2 linked regions of the Oryzias latipes genome follow. The protein of the gene in region 1 purifies or fractionates together with the protein of each later gene. This does not show direct contact. Links are inferred from orthologs where the notes say so. Each region holds a gene or a part of one and is shown on either strand. Other genes may lie near its edges.

Region 1 (16,140 bases):
TTTTACTAAAATGGAAACAATCCACGTCTGTTATTGCACTATAAATGAAATGCGTCTTAACAGAGAAACTCCTTGATTTTATTTTTAAGTAACAAAAAAAGAGTCTAAAGGACATAAGTGCTTTAAAAGAGTCAAACCTGACATTTCGGGTCTTTCAGACGGTCTTGTCCGTTGATGTCATATCAAAGTCTGTCATTACTTTACTAAAGCATGTTCGCAGTGCCGTGAAAAAAGGGTTATCATGTGTTTAGTGAACATAAACCTCACTGTGGTTCACCTTCTGCCAATTAGGATTGGTAAAAACACGCGTGTGATTGAACATGTTTGTTTGCATCACACATACATGCACAGACAGTAGAGACACAACAGGAAGACAAAGGTTACCAGAGACTGATTATTTACTTCTGGGTCAATTTGATCCCTTTGTACCCAACAATCTTGTCAGTTTCTGTTGTTTCTAACCACTCTTAGTATTGATTTGTTTAAATACATATCTTATCACTTAGATGCCGACCTACTATTCAAATTCAATTTACCGGTCTCTATAAGAGAAAAGGGATTGTCTGACTTGTTTGTTTTATTCTACAAAATAACTTGAAACCAACTTGATTTCAGTAAATGTGGACAGAAAAGTGAGGTGTGAGCTTTCTTCTGTCACAGCAATGATTTCTAGAAGAAAAGACGGCTGTGGCGTTCCTGTACATTCATGAGTTGGTTTATATTGGGGCAATATCTTGGTTGTTTAGCTCTAAATGACCCTAAATGGGAATGAGGGATGGATGGAATTACAGTGAGGGAGGTTCTGACTCCCTCAGAGGACTCCTGTGTGTTGAGTTCCCACTAAAAAGCTTTATTACGGTTCAGGAAAATCAACGTTCTACTTAAACATTACAGTTTAATAAAAGGCCGAGAAGTGTTCTCATGGAAAAGGATGTCTGCTTCTTCTTCTGCTTCTTCTTCTTCTTTTCGCTGACTGATCCTGTCATTTTCTGACCCTGTGGGTTTCAGATGATTGACATGATGACAGAAGTGTCTGCAGAGGAGAAATCGGAGTGCAGGGGTTCTCCACGGGGGTAAGTCCCACAGTCAAATATAGTTCTGCAGACGTGTCAGTCCCGGGCTGGACCGGGACCTGCTCCCACCCGCCTATATATACATGTGGAGGGAAGGAAGGGCCCCCACGCCACGGCGCGCGCTTTCAACCAAACCCACCAAGAAGAAGAAGAAGAAGAAGAAGAAGAAGAAGAAGAAGCTCGGCCTTCACCTGCCGTTTTCACCTGGATGCGTCAATCACGCTGGCCTGCATGTCGTTCTCCGTGACACCACGTGACCGTCTGATTGGCCCGTCAGTGGTTTGGGGGCGGGCGCTCCCAGGCGTTTGCTGAAATCCCATTGGAGGACAGCATTCAAGGTTGATGTGACGCAGCTTGGAATTCCCAAAGTTTTCGAGTTCTCTGGAGGAGAAATCTGTTCTCCTTTGGCAGAAAAGACCCAGGAAAAGGTTCTGCAGAGCTCTGGTCCACAGGAGCAGGTAGGACCGGGTCGGCCCGGGTTGACAGCGCCGCTCCGGGCTCGGAGGAGGAGGGGGGGATTAGCGCGTGTTTGTGAGGCGCGGGGCTGAGCGGGGACACGGAAGTGCGGGATTGGGAGTTTTTGGGCTCCTTTGTTTATCTCCGGGAGTGAAGGTTCAGACCGGTGCAGGTTCTCCAGGGAACCCCGGTGGACAGGTGAGGATGGCGTTCTGCGCGCTCTCGATCAGCGCGTTCTCGCTCCGGTCGATAACGGTTTATTGGATGAATGGATCATGAGACAGAATGATCGATTACAGATTTATTGGAAGAAGTCCAGATGTCTGCAATGTTCCGCTGCGCAGCAGCTTCATACCATGTTGCGTAACGACCACCGGCCGCTTATCCGCGGTGCGCAGAGCAGCTTAGCGCCGGTTACGTAACGGCTTAGAACCCCGCGCACGCTCCGCCGTCCGCTACCGTCGCGTCTGGAGCGGCAACCGTGAAGTCCCACAAGGCATCTCGGCTCTGGTATGTTAAACTGAAGGCTGCTGTTGTCATGCGCAGAACATCCGAAAAGCCAACCAGCCTCCTGCTGTACCGATTCTGGCCTGAAGGGGGCGATGTCGGACAGCAGCAACAGCACCGGCAGCAGCGGCTCCTCAACCAACAGCTGGACCCTCCTCTCTCCCGAGGTGAGCAGGGGCGGAGTCGCGATGACGTCACCTCAGGTTCATGGCAGTACTTTTTTTTTTTTTTTTGCTTTATTGAACACAATACAAAACAACACAAGAACATTTACATAAAATTAACAAAATATGGCGAATACAAGAAATAATACTGCAATTTGAAAGGAAGCAAAAAAACAAAACAAAAATTCTTATCAGTATGCATATATAAACCTGTCCATAGTCATAATCATAGAGAAATTAGGGAAAAGTATAACATAAGGAAACAAGAATTCCAGAGTTGGATTATGTTATAATAAAATGCAGGGGGGTACAACAGATAAATAAATGGTCTCGAATATTGGGAATTTATCAATATCTACTATGATGATCAGCCAGTAACCGTGTTCATCTGCTATATGGGACACAATTTTGTCTTGGAAGTTTTGGAGAAGTACAGCGACCCCTACTGATCTGGAATTGCCATGACGGAGGAAACCTTGTCCCCCCCCATTGCTGACACCAAAATGATTTATCTGCATTTGTAGAGTGCGTTTCTTGTAAAAAAAAATCAAAATCAACATTTTTCCCTTTACAAAATAAAAAAAAAACAAAAAACAAATAAACTTTTTCTCTTTGTTAGATCTCTCAGACCTCTTGCATTTAAATAAAGTAAAGAAATACCTGTTTTAAGGTGCAACATGTAACAAAAAGGCAAACTTAACAGACCTAAATGAGGCTGAAAGTATTACTGAACAAAAACTTTTAAGCAACAAAACCTTGAATTTACAATAACCATCTTAACTAAATAAATTGCAAGACTAACTAAAGTCATGGAATGACTCTCTGACCATTAATGAAAGCATAAGGACCACGAAACATTGTCTTACAACCATTCTTTCTCGCCTGCTCAACTTTGGGCCACACCGCTTTCCTTGCCTCTCTGTCTTCTTTGATGAGGTCTTCTGCAAAGCGGATGTTGAGGTCTGGACAGACTGGATGGTGTTTAGTCATTCGCCACAGTTCGTCTCTGTATCTCCTTCCTGTGAACTGAATGATGATTTGACGAGGGCGGTTGACGTCGGTTGGGCCCAGCCGGTGTACCGTGTCCAGAATGTTGTCCACTTTCTCTGTCCAGGGTGGTGCGATCTTTGTGATGAGATCTGCCACAATTCCTCCAGTGTCTTCCCCTTTCTCTTCTTTACCGCCATTTAGTCTCAAGTTCCATCTTCTCTTGTATCTTTCCGATTCCAATGTTTTCTTTTCCATCTCTGATGTTCTCTGCTCCAACTCCACAGTTTTCTCTTTCAGACGTTTCACTTCTTCTTCCAACTTTTTATTTCTGTCTTTACATTCTTTGATTTCAGCAGAGTTTAATTCCACAGCCTTGGCTATGGTGGATATAGTCAGAGTGTTTTGCTGCAGCTCCGACTTAAAGTCCATCATCATGCCTTTGAGGCTTTCAATTGCAGCCAAGATTGCGGCGTTTGAGGCTTCTCCTGGTCTGAGAGAGCGGGTTGCATCTGGTCTTAGCTTGTTTTGTGGCGCAGCTGGCTTCAAAGGTGATGCCACGCTGTTTTTTGTCCCCTTAGCATTTGTTTCCATGTCCTCAGGCGTGCAGTAGTCATGTGGAAACAGCATTTTAGCTCTAGCATTAGCTGTAGCTTTAGCATTGGGTTTAGTAGCCATGCTCGTATAGTTATTGGGCCTGTTAGGCAATCTTCAGTTGGCTCCTAAACTTGCTTTGTTTTATCTTGATATCCAGTGGAGAGTCGGTTTTGTAACTATTCCGTCCTAAAGTAACATTTTCAAGGTTATGTTGCGCAGAACGCTTACCGGACGTTTGCTCCCATCGCCATCTTGCCGCGAATCCCATGGCAGTACTTTAGAACAGTGTTTTTCAACCAGTGTGCCGCGGCACACTAGTGTGCCGTGGGAGATGGTCAGGTGTGCCGTGAGAAATTGCCCTCATTAACTGATCTAAAAACAATTACCATCTCCAGGAAATCAGCTCTTTGTTCATCCAAACAGGTCCTGATAAAACACTGAGAAGTTAAGAATATGAAATATCATAAAATTATTTTTTCTTTGTGTTTATATGATTCTATTAAAGACATTTTGATAAGAATAACGGGATACCGCGATTTAGCTGCAGCTATAACTGTGTAAGGAAAAGTCCCGCCCCTTTAACTGTCTCCACCAATCATTCTTGAAGGCTTAATCACATGTCATCAGTCTGACCAATCAGAAGTGGTTTGAGTATTCACTTCCTTGTTTCGATTTAGCGCAAAAAAGTCTCTCTGTTCTAACAAAAATACCAGCTAAAGCTCGTCTTTAGCGGTGTAGCTTTCCACAGAATCTGGTATCAGACTTGAACAAGTGAACAAAACCATGAAGCTCAAAGACGCTGGTCTTTCTGCGGTCGGCGGATTACGGGTACTACATCTCCCATGATGCAGTAAAGTGACTGTCTTAGCGCACAATGAGTCTCTCCTCTCAACGTCTTAAAACAACGAACACACATCAAACAGTTTTTGAATCTTTTGACTGAATTTTTAATACATCTTTTAGAAAAAACAGCTGCAGCTTCCAGCGTTTTCTGCAACAATTATCACAAAAATGCATGTGAGATTGCAGAGCGGCGGTAGATCAATAAAGACTGAGCCTTTTCTTTATTTTTTATTTATCTATTTTTTTGGATGCTGGTGTGCCGCGGGATTTTTGTCAAGGTTAAAGTGTGCCGTGGCTGAAAAAAGGTTGAAAAACACTGCTTTAGAAGAAGCATTTTGAAAGACCTTTCAACAAAAAAACAAAAAATAAAAACCTTGAAAGACCTTTAAAAATGCTCTTAAAACACGATTTGAACCATCGCTGCATGTAAACCCAAACCTGTGAATTTACACACTGAAAAACTTCAACCTTCATTTTATGTCACAGATTATTTTATATCCTTGAGTCTGTGATTATAAAATGAAACCCTATTTAAAATAAAGTCCTATATAATTCTCTGGACTGTTAATTACTGTCAGGATGATTGAGGGACAATTAGAAAAATAAACATTTTACGACTTTTCCTAAAGAAAACATAAAAAGAGTTCATGTTTCCATGGAGACGAAACGCCACGAGGCTACAGAAATCATCCTTTGGGTCATTATGACCCATGAACTAGAAAAACATTTGAACACAAGAAATGAGTTAAAAGGCCACACAAACACACACACACTCTAATCCAGATACACACACTCACACAAACAAACACACAGAGTCTAAGCAGCATTTTGTTGTTTTGCGGGATGATTAAAGGGTTTTTATAATTCACTTCATGAAGAATATGAAAACGGAAGGAAATTCCAGATTGAGAACTTTTTTTTCCAGTTTTCAGTTTAATTAAATCAGAAATAAGCTTAAAAGGGATTTTGTGTTGAGTAACAGAAAATATGATAAAAAAAAGTAACATGTTGTTTCAACAATAGATTTTACATTTTAAAATTCAATGAAGTTGCTTCATTTTGGGGGCTGTGGTGGAGTGGTTCTGTTTTGACCCGTAGGACAAGGGAAGCCGATGGAATCTCAAAATCACAACGGGTCATTCTGACACCAAACATCTTATTGTGAAAAACCTCAGAGGTGTGTCTGCTAACGTGTCACGTCACACTGTGCACGTTTGGCACGCCAGAAGGACCACGGCTGTCCAATTCCCTGCATTCCTCTTTGATTCCGGATGTCATTCCCGCCGCCGTCGCCTTCTGAGGTCACGTCTCTGCTGTGCGGCGCTGCTCTGGATTGCTGGCAGACCAGTTTTAACTTCCTGGACGACTGTCTTCCGTTTGTTTCCTAACACACTTTTGGTTTTTTGAAGTGGATAGATGTGTCCTTTAAGGGTCAGTGTTAGGGTTAACCCTACTGCTTTCTTTTCCAAACGGCGTGTCTGCTGTCACATGTAGATGTAGCTTCCACACGCGTGTACTGGTGGTAGTTTTCGCCAAAGTTACAGGGTCAAACCAGGATCAACGTAGAATGAAGGAAATGGGAGAACGTCATCACTGCTATTGACTGTAAATGAGAACTGGACTGAGAGACTCCTCCCTCTTGGCGTTCCAAACAGGAAGTGGCTCCAAGAAGCCAAAATGCCACAGACGTCTATAGAGAAATAAACCGCTGTCAGTCAGAAGAACCATTCTGGATCTGAGACTTTTTTTTCTTGATAATCCTAATTTTTGTTTCATGATCATTTTTCTGCTGTTCAAATTATAAACTGACCTGATTGGAAAGAGTGGTTGCCATAGAAACGTCGACTTGGACCAATCACTGGTTACATCCGGTTCAGAGATGGCGGCGTCCCCATCGTAAAAAAACATGAAAAGCATCACATAAAGCATAAGTGAATCAAAACACGAAACACAATAAAAACCTGAAGGTAAAAAGTTGGTTTTTCAAAATAAAAGCGGAAAATACAATATTGCCTTTAGGAAACTTTTTCTATTAAATGTGGAGTTTTGAGATGAACTGAAAAGGATCAAACCAAAGCAGTTGGGACTTTTGTACATCCGTGTCTGCTTGTATCGCCGTTTCCAAACCGTCTGTTGATGTCTTTACGCAGGAGGCCGCCGCCATTGAGAGTGTGGGGCCCGTGGACGACGGCACGGAGAGCCTGGGCGACGCCCCCAGTCTCTCTGAGGAAGTAGCAGGTATTTATCCACACACAGGCTGATTGTGGAGCCCGCACTGACCGTCCAGATCCCACTCTGATCCCCCATCTTCCTGTAGGAGCGGCGGCTGAGTTCAAGCCGGCTGACATCGCCGTGGAAACGGTGCTTTCTGAAGAAGGCCATCAGGTAGGTGGTTCGGTCAGACGTCTGCTCTGGCCCTGCAGGGCTGTGAGAACAAGAACAGAGATCTCTCATCCCCAACCGGGACATTCATTCCTGTAGCGTTCAAGGACAGACGGAACTCCAGAGGAACGTCTACGGCCCGGACGCTTTCTGAGCTGCTGAGGGAAAGACGTTAGCCACACCCACTTCAAATGTTCAGCCAATCACACGATAGACTAGACATGACGGATAGGAAAAGCTCTAAGTGGAACCCAGTTCTGCAAACACATCATCATAAAATGTATTTTAACAATTCAGGGTTGTTTTCTCCAAAGAATCCAGAATTGTTTGTCAGCAGACGAGGAAGAAAAGGCTGTTCACTCAGAGTGGGCGGAGTCAAAACACCTGAACTTCACCTGAATCAGTAACTCCGGTACATTAACTCAGGTAATCTGTCTGCCGTCACCAGGTGTGTCAAGAGACCTCCCCCGAGTCCAGCGAGGGTCCCATCCCGTCTAGTCCCGCCCGCATGAGCCCTCGCCCTAGCACCCCCCTTGACCCCCCCGACCTGGACTTGGAGAGTCAGCCTCCGGTCATTCACGACATCGTAACCACCTCCCCCAGTGACAACGAGCACCTGGGGGGCGTGTCTTTTGTCACCAACATTGATTTGAGCGCTCCCCTCGATGTTCCAGAGGTTGAAGTTTCCTCAGTGGAAACTGAGCTGCTGTCCTTGGCTCCGCCCACAGCGGAATGCTCCGCCCCTGCCGAGGTCGACACATCTGCCGACTCCGGTTCGATTCCCTCAAGTGACGTTGGGGAGACGCCTGACCGCACAGCTGAACCTGACCCCCCCACAGAGACTATCACAGCCACCAGCTCTTTCAGTGTCGAGGCTGAAAGTGGCGTGATTCCAGAACGAAAAGAGCCGCCGCCGCCACTGACCAGACAGTCGGATGATGAAGGTCCCGCACCGGAGACCAGGGGTTTGGCTGAAGAAGAGGAAGAGGAAGAGGAGGCTGCTGTGAAGCCAGAGATGCAGACTCAGGAGGAGGAAGAGGAGGAGGAGGAGGAAGGTAGGGAGCTACTGGAGATGAATTCTGCTTGGTCTGACATCATTGTATTGATTGATTGATACCTCCTTAACGCCTCAGTCGCATGCACCTGCGTGGGGGGGTTGACCTGTACCTGTGCTGTGGAGGGTCGTAGAGGAGCGGTTGCCTGTCGACGGGAGGACAGGGGTGTATTTCAGTCCCCTTGAGGCTCACATGGCCACCTAAACGGAACGTAGCATTGTGGTGTATCTGGTAAATGTACGGGGACGTATTCGTAAGGCTTAAAGCAGGTGCACGCACCTGACGTACAGGTGATGCTGTCGTACGCTGTCCTCACGCCACACTAGTTGTCAGTAAGGTGCGAGTACTGACTCCATTTTTTTCATCTGCTGACCCCCCGTGTCCACCTGTAAGGACAGTTGGGACTAAAGCTTCCTTCACACGACCATTTCCAATGAAAAGTCTGAGGAAACGCGCGTAAATGTGCATTTCAGGCCGCTACCAAAGTCCTGAACCACCGTCTTCCGGCTCCACGTACAAAACCTGCAGACATTGAAAGTTTCAAACTAGTTGAACTTTGAGCAAACAGGGACTCTGATTTGTTAGTGACGTACGGATGGCGTCCATTTTCAGGAGAAATTAAGACATTGCCATTTGTGTCCAGACAGAATTTAGCAGAAAGCAGAGCAGCAAACAGGACTCTGGCTTTGTCAGCATGTTTTTCATATGTGTCACGTAAAGCCCCCCCCCCCTGCTGGGAGCGCCGGGGAAACCCAGGCTTTTAACCACGATGGCATCCTGTTCTCCAAGCTGTCCTTTACAGAGCTGCTCCTCATTCCTGAACACGGACAGCTGAGCCTCTGAGGATGATTGACTGGAGTTGAAGGACTCACACGCTACGCTATGTGGTCGTTTGAAGACGGACTTCCTGCTGGTTTCACGTTTTCCTCGCCTTCCCTCAGACCCGAGCGGCAGCTTCGACGACGGCCTGAGGAGGAGGAACGTGGCCTCCTTCGATGCGGCCAGACCGCGGACTTCAGACGAGGACGACGACGAAGAGGAGGTGGAGTTGAAGTTGCCGGAGAGGGGGGAGGAAAAGCCCTGGTTCTCTGTGAACAAATGCATTGTGGGAGCTCTGGTCCTCCTCTTCTTAGGTTCCCTTTTCCTCTCAGGTGAGTTCTCCTCTCATAAAACCTACTTCTGCTTTTCAAACATTCGTTCAAACGTCGTCGACGATCACAAATCCATCACTGTCATTAGCTAATAACCTCAAACTCTTTGAGCCAACTTTATTGTTCCAACTGTTGTTTACAACAGTCCCGATTGATTTGGTTTTCGCTCCACAATCGTCATTTCAAATAATTCCAGGTTTTATTTTATGCAGCAGATGCTTCTACCTGATCAAGTCCGTCTTTAATGACCTCGAGTTCAGCTGATTTTTTATTTGTTTACTTGATAATAAACACAACGTTAAATCCCACATTCTTTACCAAACACTTCTCCATCGCTCTCTGGAAAAGGTCACCAGGATTTTTCATAACGTTTCTTTGGTAACAGTTTATATTATTATTGTTAGTTACTGCATAATTAAGCATTACTAAGTGTGTTTTTAATGCATTAGTTAGCAGTTGACTGTTATTATTATATACTATATTATTATTATAACCATTTATGATGCATAAATGGGAACACTTTAAAAAACAGTTAATGTAGTTTTGTGCAGTCATTCTTTAAGATAAGCCAAAACATTTGTTATAACATGATAACAACCATCATCCTGGGATTCTTCTGCTTTAGTATTTTAGAAGGACGTCCAGGCCTTTTCCTGGACTTGGTACCAGTTCTGGTTTGAGATCAAATTATTGCAGCTTTTATTGCTAAATCATTTCAGGGAAATGTCTGAAGGAGCTTCAAGCAGCTTTGGATGATCGCTCTGCAGTTTTCTTGCATAATTAAGAATTCAGAGAGCGACTTTGACCAGATCTGGCAGAGTGTCACCCTGTGAGAGTAGATTTGATCTGATGTTAAAGAAAAGAAACAAAACTCCAAACGGATCTAAAAATGTCCTTTTTGTTGGAAAGGATTCGCCGTCTGTTTGACTGACGGCTCTCTACCTGTTGCTCCTCCTCCTCACCTTGTTTCCTGTGACCCTCGGTGTTTACGGGTCACATCAGCTGCTCTTTTGCTGGAGTCAGCCGTATCCTTGTGTCCGTTTAGGGTTTTGCTGACGAAGCTGCTGGGAGTCGCCGGGTTTCCTCTGTGAGCAGAGCCCGCGGCGGCGGCAGCGGCGGTTCTGCGCTGGCGGCTGGATCTCAGTTTACTGTCAGAGCTCACATCCATTGTGACGGCTGCTGCTGCTGCTGCTGCAGAAAGAGGCCGTTCTAGTCCCAGAATCAGGCTTTGGTCCTTTTTTCAGGATTTGCTGGGTTTCTGAGCAGGAAATCGAAATCTTAGATCTTTGATTTTGAGGATCTAATTCATAAAATGAGTCTAGAATTCAGAAATGGGATGAAGTCTGTTCTTTTGGGGCTGTGGGGTGTGGGAGGGGAGGTGGCGGCTGTGCATCATACCGCGCTCACACGTGTGATGTTCCGTGTTCTGACAGGTGACTTTGACGCCTCTGAGCTGAGTGATGGAGAACAAAGTCAGGTCTGTTGTTCCATAAAACCTCTTCAAACCACAGAAACTAACAATCAAACTGATGACAATGCCGATGTTCGTCACATCCAGGACTGGCTCGGCCCCGATCCTCAGGATATGAAAGCACTGATGGACAAACTGCTGCAGGAAAACCAGGAAATCCGTCAGCTGGAGAGTCAGCTGCAGGTCAGTACGGAGTCCCGTTGGGGTCAATCCTCCCTAAAGAGAAGCTGAAGAGCTCGTCCTGTTTTGGGTTTTCCAGACGAAGACGGAGGAGCTGGACTTGGAGGTGCGAGCGGCGGCGGCGAGCGGGGACGAGAGAGGAAAGGCGGAGTTAGAAACGGAGAACGCCAAGCTGAAGGAGGAGCTTGGGTCTCTGCCTGAGCTGAAGGAGGAGCTGGAGCAGCTGAGGGCCCGAGTGACGGAGCTTAGCCGGCTCTCAGGTACGTCCGGAAATCACCTGAGCTGCTCGGTCTGATCTCTGTGACCAAACCACGAAAAGATTAGAAATGTCCGTCATGTTAGATGTCTGTCTTTTTAGACCATCAAAGCTTTTCCTATTAAATGACGTTTTTACGTATCTTGAAACTCATTTCTAAGTGAACGTTTATTATAGAAGCTTCCAGAGATGCATCCACCCTAAAATGATTCTCTGATGTTTGTGAATTTTCCACAGCAGTCCCCCCCCCTCCTCCTTCCTCCTCTCGGCCCGATGATGTCGCCGCGGGAGAGCCGGACGCCATGGAGGACGCGGGTGCAGGAGCACCGCTCCAAGAAGAACTCCAGCGACAGAAAGGCCTGCTGATGGACAGCAAGAAGAGACTGGAGGGGATGAAAAAAGACGGGGGGCACAGGAAGCAGCTCCAGGACGGCCTGGAAGAGGTCCGCAGGAAACTGTCCCAACACGTGGAAAGTCTGGGAAAGAAGAAACCGCAGGAGACCAGGCGGAAAGAGGGCAAAGGCAAAAGGTCCGAGGGCCACAGGAAAGAGGAAAAGAAGGAGTGGAAGCACGGCAAAGAGGGAGGATGGAAGGGCAAGGAGGAGGAGTGGAAGCCCCCCAAGGAAAACTCCCACAAAGAGGCCTGGAGGAAGCACCAGGACGAGTGGGAGAGGAAGAAGAGCGAGCGCCGCGTGGACAGAGAGGAGCGCAGGAAGGAAAAGCCGTGGCACAGCCGCTCTCACCCTCCTCATCCTCAGCAGCAGCAGCCCCCCCGGCAGCAGCACCACAGCCACTTCTGGAAAGACCAGGAGCTGAAGCTCCACCGCAGCGTCCGCCCCCAGCTGGGCTGCAGCTCGCTGGAGGACTGCGCCGCCAAGGAGGGCCTCTACCCAGTGGAGCTGCCGGAGTTCGAGGAGCTGCTGGAGGGCTACCTGAGCAAGCTGGAGAGGTCGTCGGCCGAGAGCAAGAGCCGCATCAGGAAGCTGACGGCCGAGTTCTTCGAGGACGGCGTCTTCATCCACGACAGGGCGCTCTTCAGCAGCTTCGCCGAGGACGTGGCCGACGTGCTGGAGGACATGGTGGACCTGTTCGAGGCCGGCAAGCAGACGCGCCACGACTCCCTGGAGGAGGAGATGGAGGAGTTCGAGCGGGAGGCCATGTGGAAGTTCGCCGCCACGGCCTAGAGCGCCGGCAGAGCGCTTCTCGTAGGACGCTCCTTCTCCTCTTCATGGCTGCAGTTCTCGTAGCTTTTGGTACAGAATGTTCCACCTTCATCCGCCATGCTGGACCCAGTGGGGCCACGCCCCCTCAGTGAAGTGTCATGTTGTTTCTTCTAGTTCCAGTGCATGTTCCAGTCAGCGACGTTCACGTGGCTTTAGGGAAATGGTTCTAGTGTCTGCTAGTAATCCACTCCTTCATCCGGTATTTCAGAAGCATCTTCCTGCGTTTGAGCTGAAGCTAAAGGTTTCTGCAGAACCTCTCCGGTTCTGCTCAGAACGGCGGTTCCGTCAGTCTGTGAAGAACCGATCCTCGTGTCTTCAGGATGATCCCGAGTCAGGAGACAGAAGGAAAGGCCGTTCCTCAGATCACTGCAGCACTTTTCCTCACACCTTTCAGAAACGTCTCTGCTTTCGTTCCGGATGTTCCTCCAGAACCTCGGAGGTGAAAGGTCACATTCAGACTGGTCACATTTTTTTTTCCTACCGGGACAGTGTTGCTTTCCGCTGCTCCTCCTCTTTAGCGCTTCTGGTTTGACGTGCATGCAGCCGTTTAGGATTTTAACGTGTTTTTTTCTGAAGCGCGGCGCCAAAACGGAGGTGCAGCAGCTTCTCTGCAGGTCTCGGTTCTCGACGGGACGGCTTGGTGATGAGCAGAGGAGCCGCGTTGTGACGAATGTTCACCCTTTTCAGTGGTTTTGCTGGTCGGAAAATGCTGCCGTGCCTTTACCATGAGGTCTGATTTCATTTGCTTTAGCTGCGAGAAAACGACGTCTACAGAGTTAGCCTGCAGTTTGCGGGACGGAGAAGAATCCTTCAGTCCATTCTTCTCTGCTGGACGTCCCGTGGAGAAGCTTTGGACTCCAGAGGCTTGAAGGAAAGGTTCAACGCAGAAGTTTGCATCCTGTGGGGCAGCAGGACGATGTGATTGATCCCTTTGAAGAATTGTTTTCTTATTCTCCAGAATGTCCTGTTTTTAGGAGATAAATGTTCAATAAATTTTTCACCATCAAGTCTGTAATTGACATTTTTATTTGAATCCTTTGGATCGGAACAAACCATCTGCTCGGCGACGGTCGTTTTGACGGATCAGAAGCATTTATCTGAAAAATAACCTTTTTGTTTCTCACAATTCTTTTTCTTTCTCCACCTTAAAGCAAAACCTCACCAAACGTTGCTCCGTATTCCCGCCAAAAATGAAAATGGTAAAAAAAAAAAAAGCGTGATGACATCACAGCGGGAGGAACCATCTACAAAACGGACGGGGCCAGAAAGGCTTGTGTGGTCAAAAAAAAACTAAACCAAAACACAGGTGTTGGAAATACCCAAAGCAAGTTTTGGAACTATTATGGGATGGCCACAGGACCTACTGCTTGGCGGCCATTTTGAGATAAAATTTAAAATATGGTGATTTTTAATTTTTTTTATTTTCCCACAAGTTTGTGTTTTGTGTAGTTTGTGCAATCGTCACGTAATTTTGAAGAAAGGCCACCAGCTTTAGTCTACGAGGACAACCAACGTTTTGTTGACCTTTGACCCTGGGAAGAGGCCGTCTTAAATCCCCCCCCCAGAAAAGATGAATGACCTTTGGTTCCTTCTACAAATGTAAACTCCGGGGCATTCGATAAATCGCCTCCAAACTCCTGGAAGTTGGTTTCAAAGTTTGTCGATTTTGAACGGCGTGATGGTGGCGAGCTCGCTAAAGAGGCGTTCCCCTGTTCCCCATGTTTTTTTACAGAACTATTGCCAAAATCTATTATGTATGTTATCTATTATAACAACATACAATAAGAACGTATTAGGAATGTGGGCGGGGTTAACAAATAACTTTGTTGCTAAGGAAACCTGAAATGGTTGCTATGTAAAATCAAACCAACAGAATTGCCAAGAAATGTTTTTTTTTCCATGAAGTGCAGCTCTGACCGGCATGGCAGAGGGGAGGAGCCGGAGGCGACCAGTCAGCCGGTGACGGCGGATGGCGCCTGCGGCCCAGAAAACGCCGCTTGGAGCTTTAAATTTAACGGCTGCTGCCATTTTTTTAAACTCGTTCCTTTGGTTTTCTCCTGTCAACTTTGGGTTTCGGGGAAAAGGTGCCAAACAAATGTGTCATTACTATTTATTCCTTTCTAAAACGGTCAAAAAGGCTTCACTCACGCTGGCCGAAGGGCTGATGCTTAACTCAGGTAAACGCACAAACACAGAGGCGGGAAAAGGCCACAAACAGTCACGGAGGACGTCAGCAGCTCAGTCTTTGTCTGAGTTTCTGCTGAAAACATTTCAGCTTCAGGTTTGCATCCAACGAGCTCCAGAAGGTGGAGCGTTGAGCTGCAAGCTTCTCCTTTGGGTTCCAGCAGGAGATCCCTGCAGGCGTTTGTTTGTCCCCAGGCAGCGCCGTTATTTGAGTCATGTTTTCTATAAACGAATTACTGCTGCGGCGTGCTGGATTCCATCAGGCCGGCCTGATGCTATCGCTGCAGCAGAGAGACTGAGGGGCTTTTGTGCCACCATCATCATCATCATCATCATGGTTTGCCCTTTGCAGGTCAGCATGGCAGCTTCCTGCTTTTGTCTGCAGTTTTTCTGATGTAAACATGCAGCCTGGAGGATGGGGGTGAAGAGGAGGGCGTGCTGAGGCTTTTTTCCGCTGATGTGTGCACCCGTGAGGAAGATGAGGCGCGCATATTTAGAGGTGATGGTCAGAATAGAGAGAGACGAGGCTTCAGACACCTGCTGGAAGCAGAGCTAGTAGAACAGCTTCTGGTTCCTCGTCAGACTCCGACTTTCTGTTTGATCGTTTTCTTTGCAGCGTGAAGCAGCATGGAGGCAGCCATCACCACCATAGTCAGCCAGTTCCAGGTGCATGCTGGGAGTGAAGGATGCTCCAGCACGCTGAGCAAAGACGAGTTCCAGCAGCTGGTGGCTTCTCAGCTTCCAAACTTGGTGAAGGTGAGTCTTTGTTCTGGTCTCCACCGTCACCTGTTGGTCTGCTGACGTCTCTGACCGTCATTACAGAAAAAAACTCACAAAAAGCGTTTTTTTCTGTTGGACTGGGGTCTTTTACGCTTCATTATGAGTCAAATTAAAAACAAATCTATAACATGTGACTTCTTTGGAGACTTGGGATTATAAATCACAAGCTTTTAACTTCTAAGTGAACATTTTGTTTCATGTCATAAATCCTGAATCATCATTTTCTCGTCTCTGGTTCTCATGGAGGTCCCATGTTCCAGTTCTTCATTGCAAGGGGAGCACAGGGGAGAGGAGGGGGATGTGGTGGAGCAGGAAGTGGCAAAGATCTGTGAGGATGAAGTCTGGGAGAGTTTAGGAGAGGATGAGGAGGAATGGAGGAGATTTTTCAGAAGAAGGGCGCTGTTCAGATCAGTGGAAACAACAGAGGAAGTTAGGCTGAGGTCAGAGGTGAACATCTGTGATCAACAGGATGGTTTCATGCAGAGACAGAGAACCACAGATCTTTGCTCTGACGATGTTTCTGCAGAAGATCAGAGACGTTCAGAGGGATCTGGTCTGTGTCTTTAGATCTAGAGAAGGTCAGGATCCAGAGAGGAACGGTGGGGCTTCAGGGAGCAGAAGAAAGACTTTAGGGTCTGGAGGTGGAGAGGCTTGTGCAAGCAGGTGGAGGAAGGCTTCAGGTGTGACCAAAGAAAAAGGTGCAGCAGCCATGTTGTTGGTTCAGAGACAGGAGGCAGCAGAGAGGAAGATGCTGAGGTTCTCTCTGGGACCAGGACGGATCAGGAATCCAGAAGAAGAAGAGATCACGGTGGATGTTCTGGAGATCCATGC
Region 2 (16,753 bases), on another chromosome or scaffold:
CTTTGACACAATTTAATCTGAAAAAATTGCATTATTTAAGTCTTTCTGTTTTTTGAAAAAAAGTTGAGCTAAAATCATGTTTAAAAATCTAAAAAAAGAGGTTTGCTGCCATATTTATTTTATAGTTACCCATAAAAAGAATTTTCCAAAAAAGTGTTTTTGGTATATTGCAGTTTATGTAGTTCATACGCAGAGGATGAACTAACATTTATGCTGTGTTAGGGCCACAGATGGGCTTCTTACCTACCTACAGATTTTTTTATTTTCTTTTTCTGTAAATGCGGTATGCCGATGTAGAATGTGTGAAGGTTTCTTTGACAGAGTTTGTTAACTTTCTAATAATAGATTAATATATTTGGCTTCCTGTTGCCTCTGGGGTCCTGAAAGCACTGAAACTCGACTCTCACAAGGCTTCTGTGACGCGGCACTCATTCTAATGCTGACCTCTTCTGCTGACTTTAGAAACCAGGAAACCCTGAATACCAAACTCAAATGAATCTGTCATACTGTGCCAATTCAAAATTAGTATAGGCTTACACTACTGCTCATTATTTGTGTAAAATAGTAAACCTTTCAATAGTTTTGGGGTTGATTCTACTGTATTGTGGAGCTTTGCATTTAGGAGGAATGCTGGCATGGAGGAGAATGCAGAAGCTGGAAGCACCACACTGTGCTGACAGCTTGGCCACCTGCCGCTTTGACCTTGTTTTAAAAAGTTTGAACCCTTTCCACTCACATTTCAGGAAGAACTGAAGAGTGCACTCCTGCCCTTGAAAGACAAGTTACAGCTTCACAGGAAAGCAAAAACGGTGTGTGAGGAAATGGCAGAACACATCAAGGTATCATAAATCTGTGAGGTTCCAAAATCTTACATTTGGAAGAAGAGCTCATGTGAGAATTTACCTTTCGGTCCCATTTCTTTTCAGAGCCAAGCAGAACATGCTGAAAAACAAATTAAGGATGAGTTTGAAGCCCTGCACCGTTTTCTGGAGGAGCAGGAAGCTGCAAGAGTTTCTGCTTTAAAGGCTGAAGAGGAACAGAAGAACCTCATGATCAACCAAAGAATTGATGAGCTGAGCTGTGAAATAACATCTCTATCCAATACTATTAAATTAGTGGAACAGGAAATGAAGAGTCATGACATCCAGTTCCTTAAGGTAGTGATGACATTTTCACCGAACCACAAAGCTGTGCAACTTGTTTGACTGCATACAGATGTGTTAAAACTGTATTTATAATTTGTTTTCAGAATTACAAGGAAACCATAAAGAGGTAAGCTGCTTTACTTCTAAATCGTCTAAAAGTAATTATTATTTAGTTATCTTGTTTTATAGTAAAAATCTTTTTAGGAAGAATTCTGACAAACTTGTTTTTCAGGACCTGGAAAAGTTGTGATGAGCCCAAGCTGCTGTCTGGTGCTCTGATTGATGTTGCCAAACACTTGGGCTCTTTGAAATATAAAGTGTGGGAAAAAATGAAGAAGATTGTAAAATACAGTGAGTTTCTTGAGGAATAGTTTGATTGACAGGTGAACTTTTCTTAGCTAAATTCTAAGATATATTTTTTCTTTTAGCTTCAGTGATTCTGGATCCCAACACAGCTGCCAACTGCTTCATTCTCTCAGAGGATCTCACCACTATACAGAATTCTACTCAAATATTCAAGCTGCCCGACAACCCAGAGCGTTTTGACATCAGCGCTGAGACGCTGGCAGCCGAGGGCTACTCCTCTGGACGCCATAGGTGGGACGTGGAGGTGAATGACAACACATACTGGGTTTTAGGAGTTGCCAGTGAGTCCATTAACAGGAAGGGTAAACATGTGTTGACGCCAGCAGAGGGATTTTGGACGATCAGGTTTCGCAATGGAGAGCACAAAGCCTGCACAGCTCCGTGGGAGCCTCTTAATATGACAAAAAAACCTGCTGTGGTAAGAGTGGTATTGGACATGGACCGAGGGAAGGTAGCGTTTCAGGATCCCAGAGAGAGAAGCACTCTCTACACTTTCACAAACATCATCTCACCCAAAGTCTTTCCTTACTTCTGCACAGCCTGCAAAGAGCATCCACTGAAAATCCTACCAGCAAGTATTTCCTTATCTACCGAATACTGAAACGTTTGCTCAAATGTTAGCGCCACACATTAACTTACTTGTTTGAAGAATGGAAATATTTTAGTTATAATTAGTATTTTCATTATTTAAAGTAAAACTTGCCTGTACAAATACCACAACATTCAATTGAACATCTGGGTTTTTAATGAATAACATAAAAGAAATGCATTTTGAGAAATTTAATTTAAGTTACAGCAGAAGTGTATTCTAGGTCTCCAATTACAAATCACAATCATGAACATCTATATTACACTACACTGATAAGAACTGTTACACAAAAAATTATAGTGTTTCTCAGCTCCGCATAACACAAAGTCATTCTGTCATATCCACATTCATTTGGCTCCTTTCTCTAAAAATCATTTAGAATAGGAAATGCAAGTTTCATTGAAGGCACATTCAGTAATAATGTTTCTTTGCAAACCCACACCAGTGTTCCTTAAAGTTTCAACTTGACAAGTGGGATTAGTTTTCCATTGCATTAAAAAAGGAAGATCCTATGGGGTTAATATTTGAACTAGCAGCTTTTCCAACTGCATGTTGAAGTCTCTTAGCTTCAATCAAGCACACAGTGGTAATAGAAAATGACCTATACAGCATCAAATGTGCAGCAAAACATGGGTACAGTACCATGTAACAGTGTTTGTCTTGATACTACCCTTTCTGTCCTGACATGACCTGTTTCCGACTGATTACGGGTGATTTCTTCTTAGTGATGCTTGAAGGCTCTATGAGGTGTTCACTTGATTTTAAAATAAAATATCCTATCAAAAGGGCTGCTCCCACTTCATGTCCTTGTGTTAATGACACTGTGTTAAAACATTAGCTGGAGCAGAATTCTGTCTATGTGAGTAGTCTTCTCAACTCTGTTCCCAGATAGGTTAAAGTGCAGACAATGGTGCACCAAGTCTGACTGGTCCAAGCCTTTCTGTATGCATGTCCTATGCTATCTCTTTCAACAACAGTTTATTTAGCCTGTTCAACTGAGGCCTACTGGGTTTGCCTGCCAGGTCATAGGGGAATTCTTCCCTCAACTATAGCATTGTAGAGCTCCTCGTCGATAGGCTCGTATCGTCCAGCACGACTGTTCAAGTAGTAGAGCTGGTCAGTTGTGAGACGAGGATCGAACCCTTCCCTCTGCAGTCTTGTTTTCTGGATTTTGAATGTGCCTAAAAAAAAATGTTGACAAAGTCATATTATTTTGAATCCGTAAATTATTATGGAGACATTAATGAGTGATGGCGGTTCATGTGCAATGGTGGTTCTATTCACCTGTGGTGTCCACCTGTGGAGAGGTCCGTAAGAATACAGGGCGTGCATAAGAAGGAAGTGCTCGCTGGATGTTCTTTAAGAACTTGTCGCAGTCCAAACTTTCAGAGGCATCAGCAATGGCAGCCATTCCTGCCTTACCCTCCACACCTGGTGCAAAATTCACAAGAATAAGGATTACAACGGGTGAGACCCTGAAGACGCTTCAGTGTAAATAGACAGTTGTTACCTGGGACAGCCACACCATACACAGCCACATCAGTCTGATCCAGAAGATTGCTGATTATTCCCTCCACCTCAGTGGTAGAGACGTTCTCCCCTCGCCAGCGGAAGGTGTCGCCACTGCGATCGCGAAAATACATGTAGCCCAGTTCATCCATCACCAGCACATCGCCTGAAAACAGTGAAAATAGTTTTTCAACAGCCATTTAGTTTAATAAACTCACAGTTTTAGGAGGGATAACCAAACAGATCAGGTGAACTACTGAAATGACAAAGCTGGCATCACAACCTTCTAACTTCTAAATTATCTTTTAACATTTTCCAACTGTTTTTTTTTTTACAATGGGAAGAAAGGTTACCTGACATATATGCACAGTCGTTTTTCCTGAAGACATTGTGAGCGATCTTCTTCTTTGTAGCATCCTGGTTAGCGTAGCCATCAAAACGTCGCAATGGGTCCTTCTGGTCAATCCGACCTACAAGGAGCCCTGGCTCCCCTGCAAATTAAATATTGGGATTTCAGATAACCCGCAAGGCATAAAAGAACACCCTCCTTCATAAGCTACATCAGTTTGTGGTCCAGAATTTCATTACCAGGGCGGCAGGGCACACACAGGCCTCGGCTGTCCCGGAGCGGTTCCATGTTCTCCTCATTAACCCTTACCAGACGGATGGGGTACACAAAGGGAAGAATGCGACTGTTGAATCCACAGGCTCCCACCTTAAAGAGCAACACAGAACCAGATTAATACCATATCTATAACATTTTACCATTGCAGGCACATGAACCATAATCGCTAACCTTGCCGTCCATGTTAGCAATACTGCAGTTGCACTCAGTTGCTCCATAGAACTCGCCAATTTGCCTCACTCCAAAACGCTCCATAAAGGCTTCCCAAACACTCGGACGCAATCCATTCCCTATTGCCAGACGAACTTTGTGACCTTTCTCAGATGGGCGGACTGGCTGAGATAAGAGGTAACGGCAAATTTCTCCAATGTACTGCACCACCTGTCAACAGGAAGAAACGTCTTTGTTTTTTACATGACTGTTGTTTTGTAATCAGCAAACACATTTTTCTTCAGGAACTCTTAGCCCTTACAGTGCAGTTGTACTTGATGCAGTCATCCCAGAAGCGGCTGGCAGAGAACTTCCTCTTCACAACCACGGTGAGACCATGGATCAAACACTGTCCCACTCCAAGAATATTACCTGGCAAAGAACACACACACATTTAGCAACACAAACACTGAAAGTGTTGATAAAATACACGGAAGGATTTTTTTTCACACCTGCAGAGTGATAGAGGGGCAGACAGTCATAAATAATGTCTTCAGTACGCATGCGAAAGGCATAGTACCCAAAAGCAGCAATTCTGTAGTAGCTGTAAGAGGAAGTTGAGTTTTTTTTTTTTTTTTAATGTGTCACAAGCTGTACAGCAGTTGAACAACTTTAAGGAGTTTTTCAGAGCAAAAACATACCGACTGTGTACAACAATAGCAGCCTTAGGCAGTCCTGTGGTCCCAGAGGTGTAGATATAAAACAGCCGATCTGCACACAGGATTACAGAACAGTTCTGCAATTACGTACTTCAAGTTTATGTCAAGATCCTAATCAAAGGTTTACATAAGCTTGTATGAACTTATTCACATTTCATTAGCAATTAAAGGCAACTTTTCTCCACTTTCTGGTTGCAGTTTACGTGTCAATCTGAATATATATATTTACTTGGATTACATTCAGAATGCTTACCAAGTAAAAGAATGGCTAAACTAGAATTTCAAACCAAAAACACATCAGCAGGGAGAAGAAATAGGCCTTTTGTGCAAGAAATAGATCACAAAGTTCAAAATCTTACCCAGCAGCCAAAATATACTCCAAGCTAAAACAATTATGTATTACAAGACAGCTAACATTTATACAGAGATGCATAGGTATAGAAATTAATCACATGGGGACAAAGTGACTGCGTTTAGTGGCTGATAAAAAAAAAACTTCTAATTGGAAATCATCACAAGAAAGTTAAGAAGTGGTCAGCCTCTACTCACCATTCATGCCTTTAGGGGGAACACAGGGTGACGGGCTATGTCTAGGTGCAGTAGCTAAAACTGCGTCTAGTGGCTGAGCACCCAAGCAAGCCAGCATTTCTGCACTAAGCTCTCCGGTACAAAATCGTACCATGGACTGGCTGATGGCAGAGTTGACTTCCAACAAAGCTGATCAAGTTGGGAGGAAGACAGTTGATGGGAGGAAAAAGCAGAAGTTCCAAAATTTTAAAAACTGCAATAGAAAATACATGAAACATCAACAGATATTTACTTATGCTGATACATGTGATATTGTAAGATTCTAGGCTACGCTCACAATGTCCTTGATTCATGAGATTTGCACCGCTTTGACATTTCCCACCAAGCCTCTTCCAACTGTAGGTGAGGGACATGCGCTGGTAAACATTAAAAAAATTTAGAGAAGAAGAAGCCCCTCCCTGCTAGTTCAGTGTGAACACCATGGGCTAAATGTGCGTTCAAAAACCTGCGTTTAGCGGATTCTTGAACACGCCTGGTGAAGTAGCTTAAGGAATAACTGTTCACATGTTGTGTAAAACATTCTTACCATCAGCAAGCTCGGCTCCAAACACAATCGCCCGGGACCCCGATACCCCGATGCAGTGCAGAAGGGGATCACAGCGGAGGCTGAAGTTAATGAGTGCAGCTTCCACCCCAACTTTGGCCAAGCCCAGCCAAAGTGCCACCTGGAGAGGTCTGCTTTCCAAAAAGAGGGCAACGACATCCCCGGAGACCCATCCCTGACCTCTAGCCCAGTGGGCAACTGCGTTAGAGGTTTCATCCAGCTGGGTGAAGGTCCACACCTCTCCTGTGGCCTCATAGATCAATGCTGGTTTGTTTGGGTGTTGTTTTACAACCTGGGTGAAAATGGAAGGAATATTGCTTCCGTTCCGCATGTAGCGCCACAAAGCCAGCTTGACTCTGCACAGGACATACAGGCCACTGAGAAGGGAAAAACAGGAGATCACTGATGAACAAAAAGTTGACCTAAAATCAACATCCTTTCCAAACATTTCACCTACTTGATGTCTCTCGTGGCAGTCTTTGCAGCAATGTAGAAATATTTCCAGCTTCTTGCTCCCAGATACGCCCCAAGGCCTGCTGCTAGACTCCAGGACCAGGACACCCCAAAGAGACGCAGCAGCCCCAAGGACCCCAGAGAGGCAGAGACACTCGCTGCATTGTGCATTCTCGTCACGGAGAAAGAAGAAGGGTGGTCTTTTTTTTTTACACAATACTGGGTTTAAGCTGCATGGGCTTCAGATCAGAGGGGGGCTCAAGTAGTGCAGTGCAAACTGGCACACAGGCACGCAAAGAAAACTTTTTATCCTGTCACGAGCGACTAAAAATACACATTTGGTGTAAAAACACGATCTTAGCATTACATATCTACAGTTAATTCTGCTTTAATAAAAGTATCGAGCGTCAAATACCGCGTTCAAAAATGCCACAGTAGCGTAAATGTTTATGCACGACTTACCTATGAGTCAACACTGATGGGGATATCCCGGTTTTTAGCTGGTGACCTCGTCGATGATCGGCGCAACTTTCTGCTGTACTTTAGTGAAGACAAGCAGCTTTCGAAGCGCCGAAAGAAGCTGGTTTTCAGAAACCAGAAGTTTTTGTTAAGTTAGCTCCGTTAACCGCACTCAACGTGGCAGCGATGCAGTAGTTAACCGGGTTATAACGTCTAAGCGGCACAGAAATATTTCTATTAAGAGGTCATTTAGTAAAAAGACCAAGCAATACTAGATCAAAAGAGCCCGTGTTCATTAAATAACGGTAAACTGACGAGGAGCGATAAGCTGTCAGTATATCTGACTAGGTTCTGTACTCCATGTTGCACAGAGCGGTTGGCATCGAAGCCCCGCCCACCGCGGGTGTGAGCTTTGTGTAGCAGATCAGCTATTTGTTGATTTCCCCGCTTGTCAAGCAATTCTAAGTTTTGATTGGACGAATCCATCCAGCCTAAAATCCCAATCACCACTGGGAGCCGCTAAGAATGTCGGACAAATTGTAAGGACGTCGACTCGGTAGAGTCAAATAAAGGTTGTTAAATGCAGTTTGACGCTTGATTACTTTACTTATTGCCAGACATGTCTTGCCGAATGAGTTTTGCAGTTTAATTTACAAGGGGGGAAATTAAAATATTTTTAAATGAAAAGATTAAAGACCCACTCCAAACTGTGTTTTTTGTATTTAACATTGTGTCATTTTTCTCATGATGGAGGACATACAGGCTAGAAAGAAAATTAAGTTTAAAGCAGCATTTCTGAGTATTTGTTTATTCAAGTTGTTGTGAATTACGAACAGTTGAATAAATGCTGCTGGAAAAACCCTGTAGAAGCGATGTAGGTGCTATAGTTTGCGGTCTATAGGCTCCCTGTTTCGCTCCATTCTGATGCATCCAATGACAGAGAAATAGCTCCATGTCTGTCTTTGTTTTCCTTGTTCAAGCTGGTATCTGGCATGCAACTCGATGGCTGGATAGCTCCTACATTCCTCGCCATTTTTGTTGCACCGGTAATTTTAGGTTGGAGTTGTGAGGAGTGTTGCTACCTAATCTGTAAGCATTTTGCAGTCAGAGTATGTCTTCAGATGTGTCACTCGGAGAGGGTGTAAATAAAGGAATGATGGGAAACGAGGGGAGGCTTACTCGGCTTACTCTGCTCCGACAGCCCTGTCCACACCTGCTGCTCTGCAGAGACTATGTCCTAGACAACTGACACAGGTTTTTTGATTTTGGCTAAAATGGCATAATCATAATTAAAAGACCACTGAGAATGTTTTTTTAAAAATAGATCTAAAGATGATTGGAGTGGGCCTTTAAGGAAACTTGGTCAATGCAAACGAAACACCTCTCTTTGATATTCTACAGAATAGCTGTTCGCAGACATTGTTGTTCTTTGAAAGTAAAATCCACGGCAAACCCTTGAAAGCACCGTTTTTCTCAGTAAGATGTAAACCCATGGGTCCAGTATCTGATTCCAGGCAGCCATGCGTAAAGCCAATAGGGTAAACCCATCCTTCATATTAGCTGACAGTCTGGGACTTGATTTGTGCAGGATAATAGTAATGTGGACCTGAAATGTAGGAGAAACACAAAGTTGTCACTTCAAAGTTTCACCTGGTTCTAATCTTATGTTGTTATCAAATTTTTCCCCCAACATTTCTGAAAAAAACTTCAATATAAAAAAGCAAATCAATGAAACAATAGAGTTGTACATACAAGGAATGGGCCCCAGCAGATACAGGACACCACAGTGATCACAGCAAGTTGTACAATCATCTCCATATCCAGTGAACAAAACAAGGAGGAAGATGACGCAGACGATCCTCGTCGAGCAAAACGTGTTGAAGTATTAGTGCTGCTGCAGGACTTCCTTCTCGCTTGGAGTAACACCAGGCCACTCAGGATGTTGCAAAGCAGGGAAAGAGTGAGCGCAGTGAGGCCCAGACAGGAAAAGGTCATCACCAGGTTTTTGTCTGCAGCAGTCTGTGGTTCATGAATTTGCAAAAAGCACCATGTGCCAGGAAACTGGATAGAGTAATTCCCCACACCAAATACAGGTAGTAGAGCCAGAGTACAAGCAACAGAGCACAAAAGCAACACCATTCCCTGTGCATGGGCAACTGTAATAGTGGATATGTGGTAAAAGGGTTGAGTGATTGCAACACAGCGCTCAACTGCCATGGCACATCCAATAAGTAACGAGCATAACCCAAAAAAAACCATGCTTGCTCCAAAAAATGGGCAAAAGTTTATATTGTTGTTTGTAGTAGTTGTCCACTTCTTATTTACGTGCATATGCAGTGCAAAGGCACCTAAGATGAGGTGACCTCCAAGGTCAGCCAAAAGTAATGCCACGGTTAAATGAAAAAATGGTGCTTTAGACTGACGCCGGAATCTTGCTCGTGATTTAGCTAAGATTCCCAAAGCAGTGAGGTTGGAGATCGTGCCAAAAGTCATAGTAAAGCAGGACATCAACAAATCTGGAAGATGGTTGGAAGTTGCAGTGCCATTTTTCTGTGAGGACAGGTCAGAGCAGTTAACCTTCGGGCTCTGCTGGAGAAAAGGTGGTATTGATGAATTAGAAAACGAAGTCACAAGTATAGTGGTGGTCATCGTCGTCTTGAGGGTTATCTAAAGAAAAGAAAATGATTGGCATCAGTTGAAAGCTATGGTGTATTAATTTTCAGTATGGTTTCCACGTAGATGTGTTTCTGTGCTACAGTATTGTAATGAAGTCCACAGTTATTTATCTAAATAAAAATGTGAAGCAATAAACCACATTAGGAGATGTTAAAGTTAAAAGAAGCCACTTGTACACGAAACAATGATGATGAAACTGTGGTTTTGTTGGGTTATTAACTCAGCTGGATGCTTGTGTTTGATTTTATTGCAAATGTTAAAACCACAATGTAAAATGTCTGTGTACAACTGTGCAGTGTACAGCAATGTCCTCTGGGCTCAAACCCCAGGCATTATCAGCCATAGGCCTACTGATATTTTCTAGAGTGGAATATTACCCTTTAAAGTTTAAAATCTCTTTTCTGTTAAAGTACCACTCCTATCATCTTTTCAGCTACTTCAAAAGCATTATAGTGGTGTTTTGATTGTGATTCTGCCATTTTTAGCCAAAATTTAAAAAACCTGTGTCGTTTCCTAGGACATAGTTTCTGCAGAACAGTAGTAGCTCATCAGAAATTTACCTGTGAGTTGTGGGCCGGATCGTTGGCACGGTTTAAGACTACTCCCACTTCCCATCATCCCTTTGTCTACACCTTCTACCGGTAGCTTACAGACCCTCACAACCCCAAGCGGTGCAACTAAAATGCAAGCGATATCAGAGCTATCCAGCCGTAGAGTTTTGATCCAGATGCTAGCTCGGACGAGGAAAACTAAGACATACATGGATCTATTTGTCTGGAAGTGGATGCATTAGAATGGAGCGGAGCAGGGAACTTGTGACCCGTTGATTATAGCACCTCACAGCTATAAGCTTTTTCAAACCACCTTTTTTTGTCTACTCCTGATTCATAAAGATTTTGGAAATAGAAATGCAGCTTTATGCTGAATTTTTTTATATATGTCCTCCACCATGAGAAAAATGCCACAACAACATCTAAAACATGAATCTTATGGGTCTTTAACAGGAAAATGCCTCTTATATTGTATATCACGTGTGCCATCTAGAGAAATTGTATTTAAATCTAGTCTTCAAAACTCATATTTGAAAACTTATTTACAATTTATTATTTATAAAAGTTAATCCCTACTCATCAACTATTTCTTAACAGTTTAAAACATCTTTTCTCTTTGTTTAAAGTTTGAATAAAAAACATATTCAAGTTTGAAGGAAGTTTTTTTTTGAGGAATTACGCTACACATACCAGAAAAAGTGATATTTTCCTCTCAACAGTCTTAATAGTAAGAAAAAGTATGAAGTGATTAACACAAACATGAATGATTTCTTACTTTATTTTATTGCTAAAACAGATCTTAAAAGGTTAAAACACACACTTTTATCTACAAAAGAAACTAAAAGGTACTTCATAAAAAGAAAAAACCTTTAAAGTATTTAGTCTCTTCTCTCAGTGGGATACACATGTAAAAGAAAAATACAAAGCAGACTTAATATATTGGCTTTAAGATGAGGGTGACACAAGTTCTTGATCAAACATTGGTAAATGCTTAAAGCAGACAGTGATTCACATTTTTCTGTCTCTTGAAGGTGAAAAGTTTATTCTCTCTTTCTGAAATTGTGAACTAGTAAAAAAAAAACTGTCCACAAAGTAAGACAAAGGAAATCCCCGAAAACGCTTTGTGCAGTTCTTATTTTTTATTAGGCTTCTTTAAAGATCTTTGTAATCAGAGAATCTGAGTCTCTCCAGTTTATTTTTATTCACTACTACTCTCAGGAATCCTAGCAGTACCACAGATCCATCAAGGCAAGTTAAAACCTGTTCTGCTTTCCTTTACCTACAGATTCCCTATTGGTCATCATCTTATTAGAGAGGAATAAACATAACATATTTTTAATATAGAAAGTATACACAAAAAGATTTTAAATCATGAGTTTAACTTACCTTTAAATAAATAGAAGGTTTTTCTGATGAAGCTTAAAAAACAGTGAGAAAAAAGTATGCTGGGTTTTATCTGTAAAGTTTCCAAATGTGCAAAACTTAAAAATCCCGATTTCCAAAACGCATTTGCCCTTGTCTTCACTGTCTAATTCTTCTTTTCCTCTCTGACAGTTTCTGCCTGCTTCATCTTGCTGTCTGCCTCTTTCACTCTGGAGAGAACTTCTTTATCTGATCTGCATTTTCTACCCTCCTTTCAGCCACATCCGTACTGGATGCGTTACCTCCATCTATTGATCATTGCTGCTCATCCTCTGAAGCAAACTGGATCTCCTCCAGCACTTATTAGGCTTTGTATTATTGATCCACTGATCCAGTGCCTGCAGAATTTTTGAACAATGATATTCAAAATCGGTCATTTTGTATTTTTACACTTTTGAACTTTTTAAAGTTGTACATAGACTTGTTGGTCACTCAGTTGTAACTTTTGATATTTGTCACAAAAACAGAGTCAGAGTTTGGAACCATGGTGACCAGTACTTCAAAGTCTTTCTGGTTTATACCAACTAACCCAGACATTGAGAACAATCTGTCGTACATGCACACTGTTTTAATAGAGTCTGAACCATTTACAGTTCCGGCTTCATAACTTTGTACAACAAGAAGCAGACACAAAGAAAAGTTCAAAGTTGAATTTCAAGTGTTCTCGGAAAAAACATTTGGATGAATATAAATTAAAAAGCTGACCTGCGCCAAAAATACTGGCTATGATTGTTAGGAATGTGAAATATGACATCAAAATAAAGTAAAAAGGTTAAAAAATAAATGATTTAAAGAAAGAAAAAATAAACAGACGATTCAGGGGGTCCAAGATTTTATCAGGAAAATCATGTCTTTTATCTCACGCATACAGGAAGGAACACAAAATAGTCCATTTCCTATGTGTCCACGAGCATTCTTTTACTGTAAGCACTGCCAACTGATCTCAGTAAAGAAAATCTATTTAAAACTATTACAAAAATGCTTCAAGTGTGAAATTGGTTGTAGAAAGTATTTATTTAATCTTTGACAAGTAAAAATACAGGAATTTAGCTTTTACAAGTGAGTGGCAAACAACTTCTTGAGCAGAAATATTACCCCAATGCTAAAACAGACTTTGAAAGCACAAATAGTTTAATAAAATCTCTGCACATTTGGGGAAGCAAGCATTTAGACTGTTGGACATGCTTCTTGATACTGTATATATGAAATGGTTCATTCAAAGTAAAAATCTGTCTTCATTTTCGATACAATTCAAAGGCTGTGGACAAGGAGAGGGAGGTTTTATCACTAATATTTCTCTGACTTTTATTTTCATTAAATTAAGTGCCTAAATGTTATGGCAAACATCAAATACACCTGATGAAACAGTTTTTTTATTTCAAAGTATTTAAAAAAAGTTTTTTTTCTCAGCCATTTAAAACAAAGCCTCAACAAAAAAGGTTGTGGACTGTCATTGTCTATCAGTTTCTAAAATAAGTCTGAAATAACTCAGTTTTAAATTGGATTGTGCTTCATTAACTGACAAAATACAACATTTCTGGATTGCTAAATTATAACTAAACAAATATATTTTAAATGTATTCTTTCATTCTAAAAAGATTAATCTTTATAAAACAATATTTAATAATACTATTTACAAAATAAAATATTTCATCAATATGGTCCACAAATTATGATACATGGCAGTAGCAGCAAGCAAAGTGACTATAAGTTGTGTTTTTTAGCCAACTGTACTTTTGTCCCAGTTCATCGTTCAGCTCCTTAAATTTGAGATTCTCCTGTGTCCTGGGTACTTTTGGATCCCTTAGGATGACAAAAGGATGAGTTCAATTATTAACAAGAACATCTTTGTGAAAAGTATGGTACACTACACATATGTACCTGCTCTGTAATACTCTATTAGCTTAAGACTCTGAGAATCCTGTTTGCTCAGAATAATAACCTGAAGATATTTGTGCAAAAAAAACAACAACAAAAAAACAAGACACTGGTTTGAAACAGAAAGAAGGGCTTACTTGTGGTTTTCTTGTGTGAGAATAACTGAACTCTGAGTAGGTCTTCTTCCGAGGTGCAAAGAGTTGAGACGAGATGTTTCCATATTCTTCCCTTATCTGTATTTATGAAAATATCATAATTATGATTTCTTAAAATAAAATGCCAAGAGACCTAATTTGACTTTGTTGCTTTTTTGGCTCATGCTTACTAAAATTATTTCTAAAAAAAAAGATGCTGACCAACCTGTTTAGAAAGTAGACAGTGCATTACAAAGAGCATCACACCCTGAAGGCTTCCAAAAATGGTGAACAGATAAGTCATGGCAATTGTGCCCTTCTCGAACTGGAAACACCCAAAGATCCACATTGTTCCCAGTATGCACAGCTGGGCAACAGCAGTGATGGTAAATGCCCTGTAGGGGGCAACAAGGACCCATGCAATCACTTGGAGCTACTGCAACATTTGAAGATTTTCATTTCAACGGACATACTTACTTAAATGACTAACTTATGTGATTTTTATTTTTTTAAAGCAAGCAGCAATCATTAAAAACAAAGTAAAAAGTAAGAAACTATTAACACAGCTGTGTAATAAAGCAGTTTATATTTGGGTGTTTTTAATTGAAGTTGTTTGGATAAAAGTTATAACTTACTTTATTTTCTGCAGGCTGTCTAGGTCAGGATTTAGACTTGAGAACTTCTGTGCCAACTTCCAGGCGGTGATTAGAAAGAAGAAAATGTTGACCTGAAAGACATATACAAAGGTTTTAAAACAAACTGGAGTCAATAAAAAAGAAAAAAAAAGAAAAGAAAAAAAATCATACAATGATGATGACACAGGCAGGCCCAAAGAAACTCCAGATTAAGTCCAAACTCAGCCAGCAACTGAAATACACATTTAAAGATCATTTATCCCAATCAAATTTCTAATCAATAAGCAGAAGCAAAGTAAAACTAAAGATGACGAATTTAAACAGGAAAAAGAAATGAACTAAGCAGTGTAACTTTCAATAGTTGAAATACAATGAGAAATTTGGGGAACTCACTGTCTGTCAGTGCCATATTCTTTGTGACTAACCAATGCAGAAACAGCAACAATTACTGCTGGGACTCCATAGCCTCCTGCCATCATGTACAATGTTTTAAAGTTGGTGTTGAAAACCAGAACCACCATCCTGAAGAGCTGGATGCCCTCCAGACACATCCAGCAAAATGCTGAAAGGTAGAAAAAATGCAGCATTCCTGCCACCACTGCACACCCAACCTGTTGAACAGACAGATGAAAACCAGCATGACATCAACCAAAAAGAAAATTGTTATAGTAAAATACAAGGGTCTGAGAAAAGACCAAAAATAAATAAGTGTTTTTTGCTAAGTAAACTTTTTTGCCAACGTACGCTATTTGCTGACTGTGTTCTAACCTTTCCTGATCTCTGAACTTAGTTCTTTTATTTTCTTTCCATTTTTCTCTTGTACTTCTTTTTTTCCATGTCTGGGATTTAACACACTTTCAGCACATTTACATGAACAGCAAGTATTTACCTTGTTCTCTGTCCTAGAGATGCCTGCAAGAAAGATGAGATTTGCAATGAAGAGGCTGATGCAGAGGTGCAGGTGCATGGTGGTTCTGGGGCTTTGGATGGAGCGGATCATAGAGAACGTCAAGATGCAGATGAACAGACAAACCAGTGAAAGAGACAGGCCCACCCATGTAATCAACTGCAAGTCAAACTTATCCTATTGGATGAGAGAATATTTAAATTGGCACAGTGATGAAACACTCACATGCAGCTCATTCTGCACAGAAATCTTCAGATGTCAATACTGTAAGGGTTTTAACCTCAGTGTCATAAAGGGCCATTAGGACAGCAAAGCTGCTCAAGTGTTGACAGGAGCACACAGTGTATTCAGGGCTAGACATCACAACTTTGCAGCCTCGTGTGGACCATGCCCCTCCTTCCACTGAGAAATCCCAAAACACACAGGTGTGGAAAGTTTGGTTGGTCTGTGAAATGAATAAACCCAAAGTTACTGCTGTGTTTTGTAATATCAGTTTGCCGCATATTTGTTAACAAGAACCAGACAAATAAATGGTAATAGAGCTTTTTACCTTTTCAAGGTGATACAAGGTCAATCGGATTGGCTCTTTGAGATGGCTTGTGTTTGTGTTACTGACTGTGACAGTCACAACTTTAGAGTTTATCTGATAGCGTTCATTCTTCTGGGGTTTTATCCCACCAAAGTAGCTATTTGCAAACTTTTCCAGGTTGAAATAACTCAGCAAGGAAACTGCTGTAAAGCCTATTTGATGAACAAAAGGACATTACAGAATTAATAAATAAAATGAAACATGCTCAGATGTATTATTTAGAGGATTATAATTACCTGGGTAATACAATTGATCACCAGCAGCTACTTCCAGGTCAATGTCTAGTTTAGCGTGCTTGGAAGATAGAGTGGTTGGTCCTCGAGGCAATTCAGACCCCTTATAAACCAGCATTTTCACTTCTGCATTAAAATACAAAAATAAATGTTAATTCCTATAGTCTGATAGTTCACAGGTAAAGTTACTTAAAGTATACAGCAAACGAAAGTTTCCATACATGTAAACAAAATTTGAAAAAGTTTTGAAGAGAAAAAAATATGAACCATGCATGTCGCAATTCAGAGACGTTCATTTTTTTGAAACCTTCTTCTTCATATTTTTATGTTACCTGTGTATGTCCCCAACTTTTCTCTCCCTGGAGGTGTAACAAAAGGTCCTATGATCCTCAGAGCATGTTCCACAAAGTTCAGGAACAGGGAGACTTTCTTGTTATCATTGAAGACTTCACTGGACAACAGTTTGTCGATCAAAGATATCAGGAACTACAACCCAGGGAAGGGGAGGAAAGGAAGCAACATAAGCTTGCGTAGTGAAAACAAGAAAGTCTCACTGACGTCAGACTATTGGACTGCATATC

The links.
Region 2: the proteins of pre-B-cell leukemia transcription factor-interacting protein 1 (region 1) and long-chain fatty acid transport protein 1 purify together in Homo sapiens (co-immunoprecipitation; 3 studies listed by BioGRID and IntAct, with this or other methods). This does not show direct contact. The link is inferred for Oryzias latipes from reciprocal best matches to the Homo sapiens genes PBXIP1 and SLC27A1.

The regions. Positions count from the first base shown.
Region 1 is NC_019869.2:879,826-895,965, reverse strand, and holds pre-B-cell leukemia transcription factor-interacting protein 1, read left to right. Parts: upstream 1-1,196; 5' UTR 1,197-1,531; intron 1,532-1,562; exon of another isoform or gene 1,563-1,727; intron 1,728-2,075; 5' UTR 2,076-2,131; coding exon 2,132-2,203; intron 2,204-5,453; exon of another isoform or gene 5,454-6,317; intron 6,318-6,437; exon of another isoform or gene 6,438-6,777; coding exon 6,778-6,865; intron 6,866-6,944; coding exon 6,945-7,012; intron 7,013-7,457; coding exon 7,458-8,064; intron 8,065-9,003; coding exon of another isoform or gene 9,004-9,005; coding exon 9,006-9,215; intron 9,216-10,648; coding exon 10,649-10,692; intron 10,693-10,773; coding exon 10,774-10,869; intron 10,870-10,945; coding exon 10,946-11,126; intron 11,127-11,359; coding exon 11,360-12,306; 3' UTR 12,307-13,355; downstream 13,356-16,140. Other genes in the region: protein S100-A13, read left to right, coding at 15,157-15,285. UniProt on the Homo sapiens protein: Regulator of pre-B-cell leukemia transcription factors (BPXs) function. Inhibits the binding of PBX1-HOX complex to DNA and blocks the transcriptional activity of E2A-PBX1.
Region 2 is NC_019866.2:9,140,303-9,157,055, forward strand, and holds long-chain fatty acid transport protein 1, read right to left. Parts: upstream 7,550-16,753; 5' UTR 7,151-7,549; intron 6,861-7,150; 5' UTR 6,860-6,860; coding exon 6,693-6,859; intron 6,613-6,692; coding exon 6,218-6,612; intron 5,821-6,217; coding exon 5,653-5,820; intron 5,156-5,652; coding exon 5,086-5,155; intron 4,989-5,085; coding exon 4,897-4,988; intron 4,817-4,896; coding exon 4,707-4,816; intron 4,616-4,706; coding exon 4,406-4,615; intron 4,325-4,405; coding exon 4,198-4,324; intron 4,101-4,197; coding exon 3,963-4,100; intron 3,776-3,962; coding exon 3,611-3,775; intron 3,532-3,610; coding exon 3,385-3,531; intron 3,282-3,384; coding exon 3,124-3,281; 3' UTR 2,239-3,123; downstream 1-2,238. Other genes in the region: zinc-binding protein A33-like, read left to right, coding at 744-839, 927-1,157, 1,250-1,272, 1,378-1,496, 1,574-2,112; prostaglandin F2-alpha receptor-like, read right to left, coding at 8,511-8,759, 8,900-9,796; adhesion G protein-coupled receptor E1, read right to left, coding at 13,558-13,599, 13,812-13,907, 14,035-14,203, 14,444-14,535, 14,615-14,675, 14,837-15,054, 15,333-15,527, 15,631-15,795 and 3 more. UniProt on the Homo sapiens protein: Mediates the import of long-chain fatty acids (LCFA) into the cell by facilitating their transport at the plasma membrane.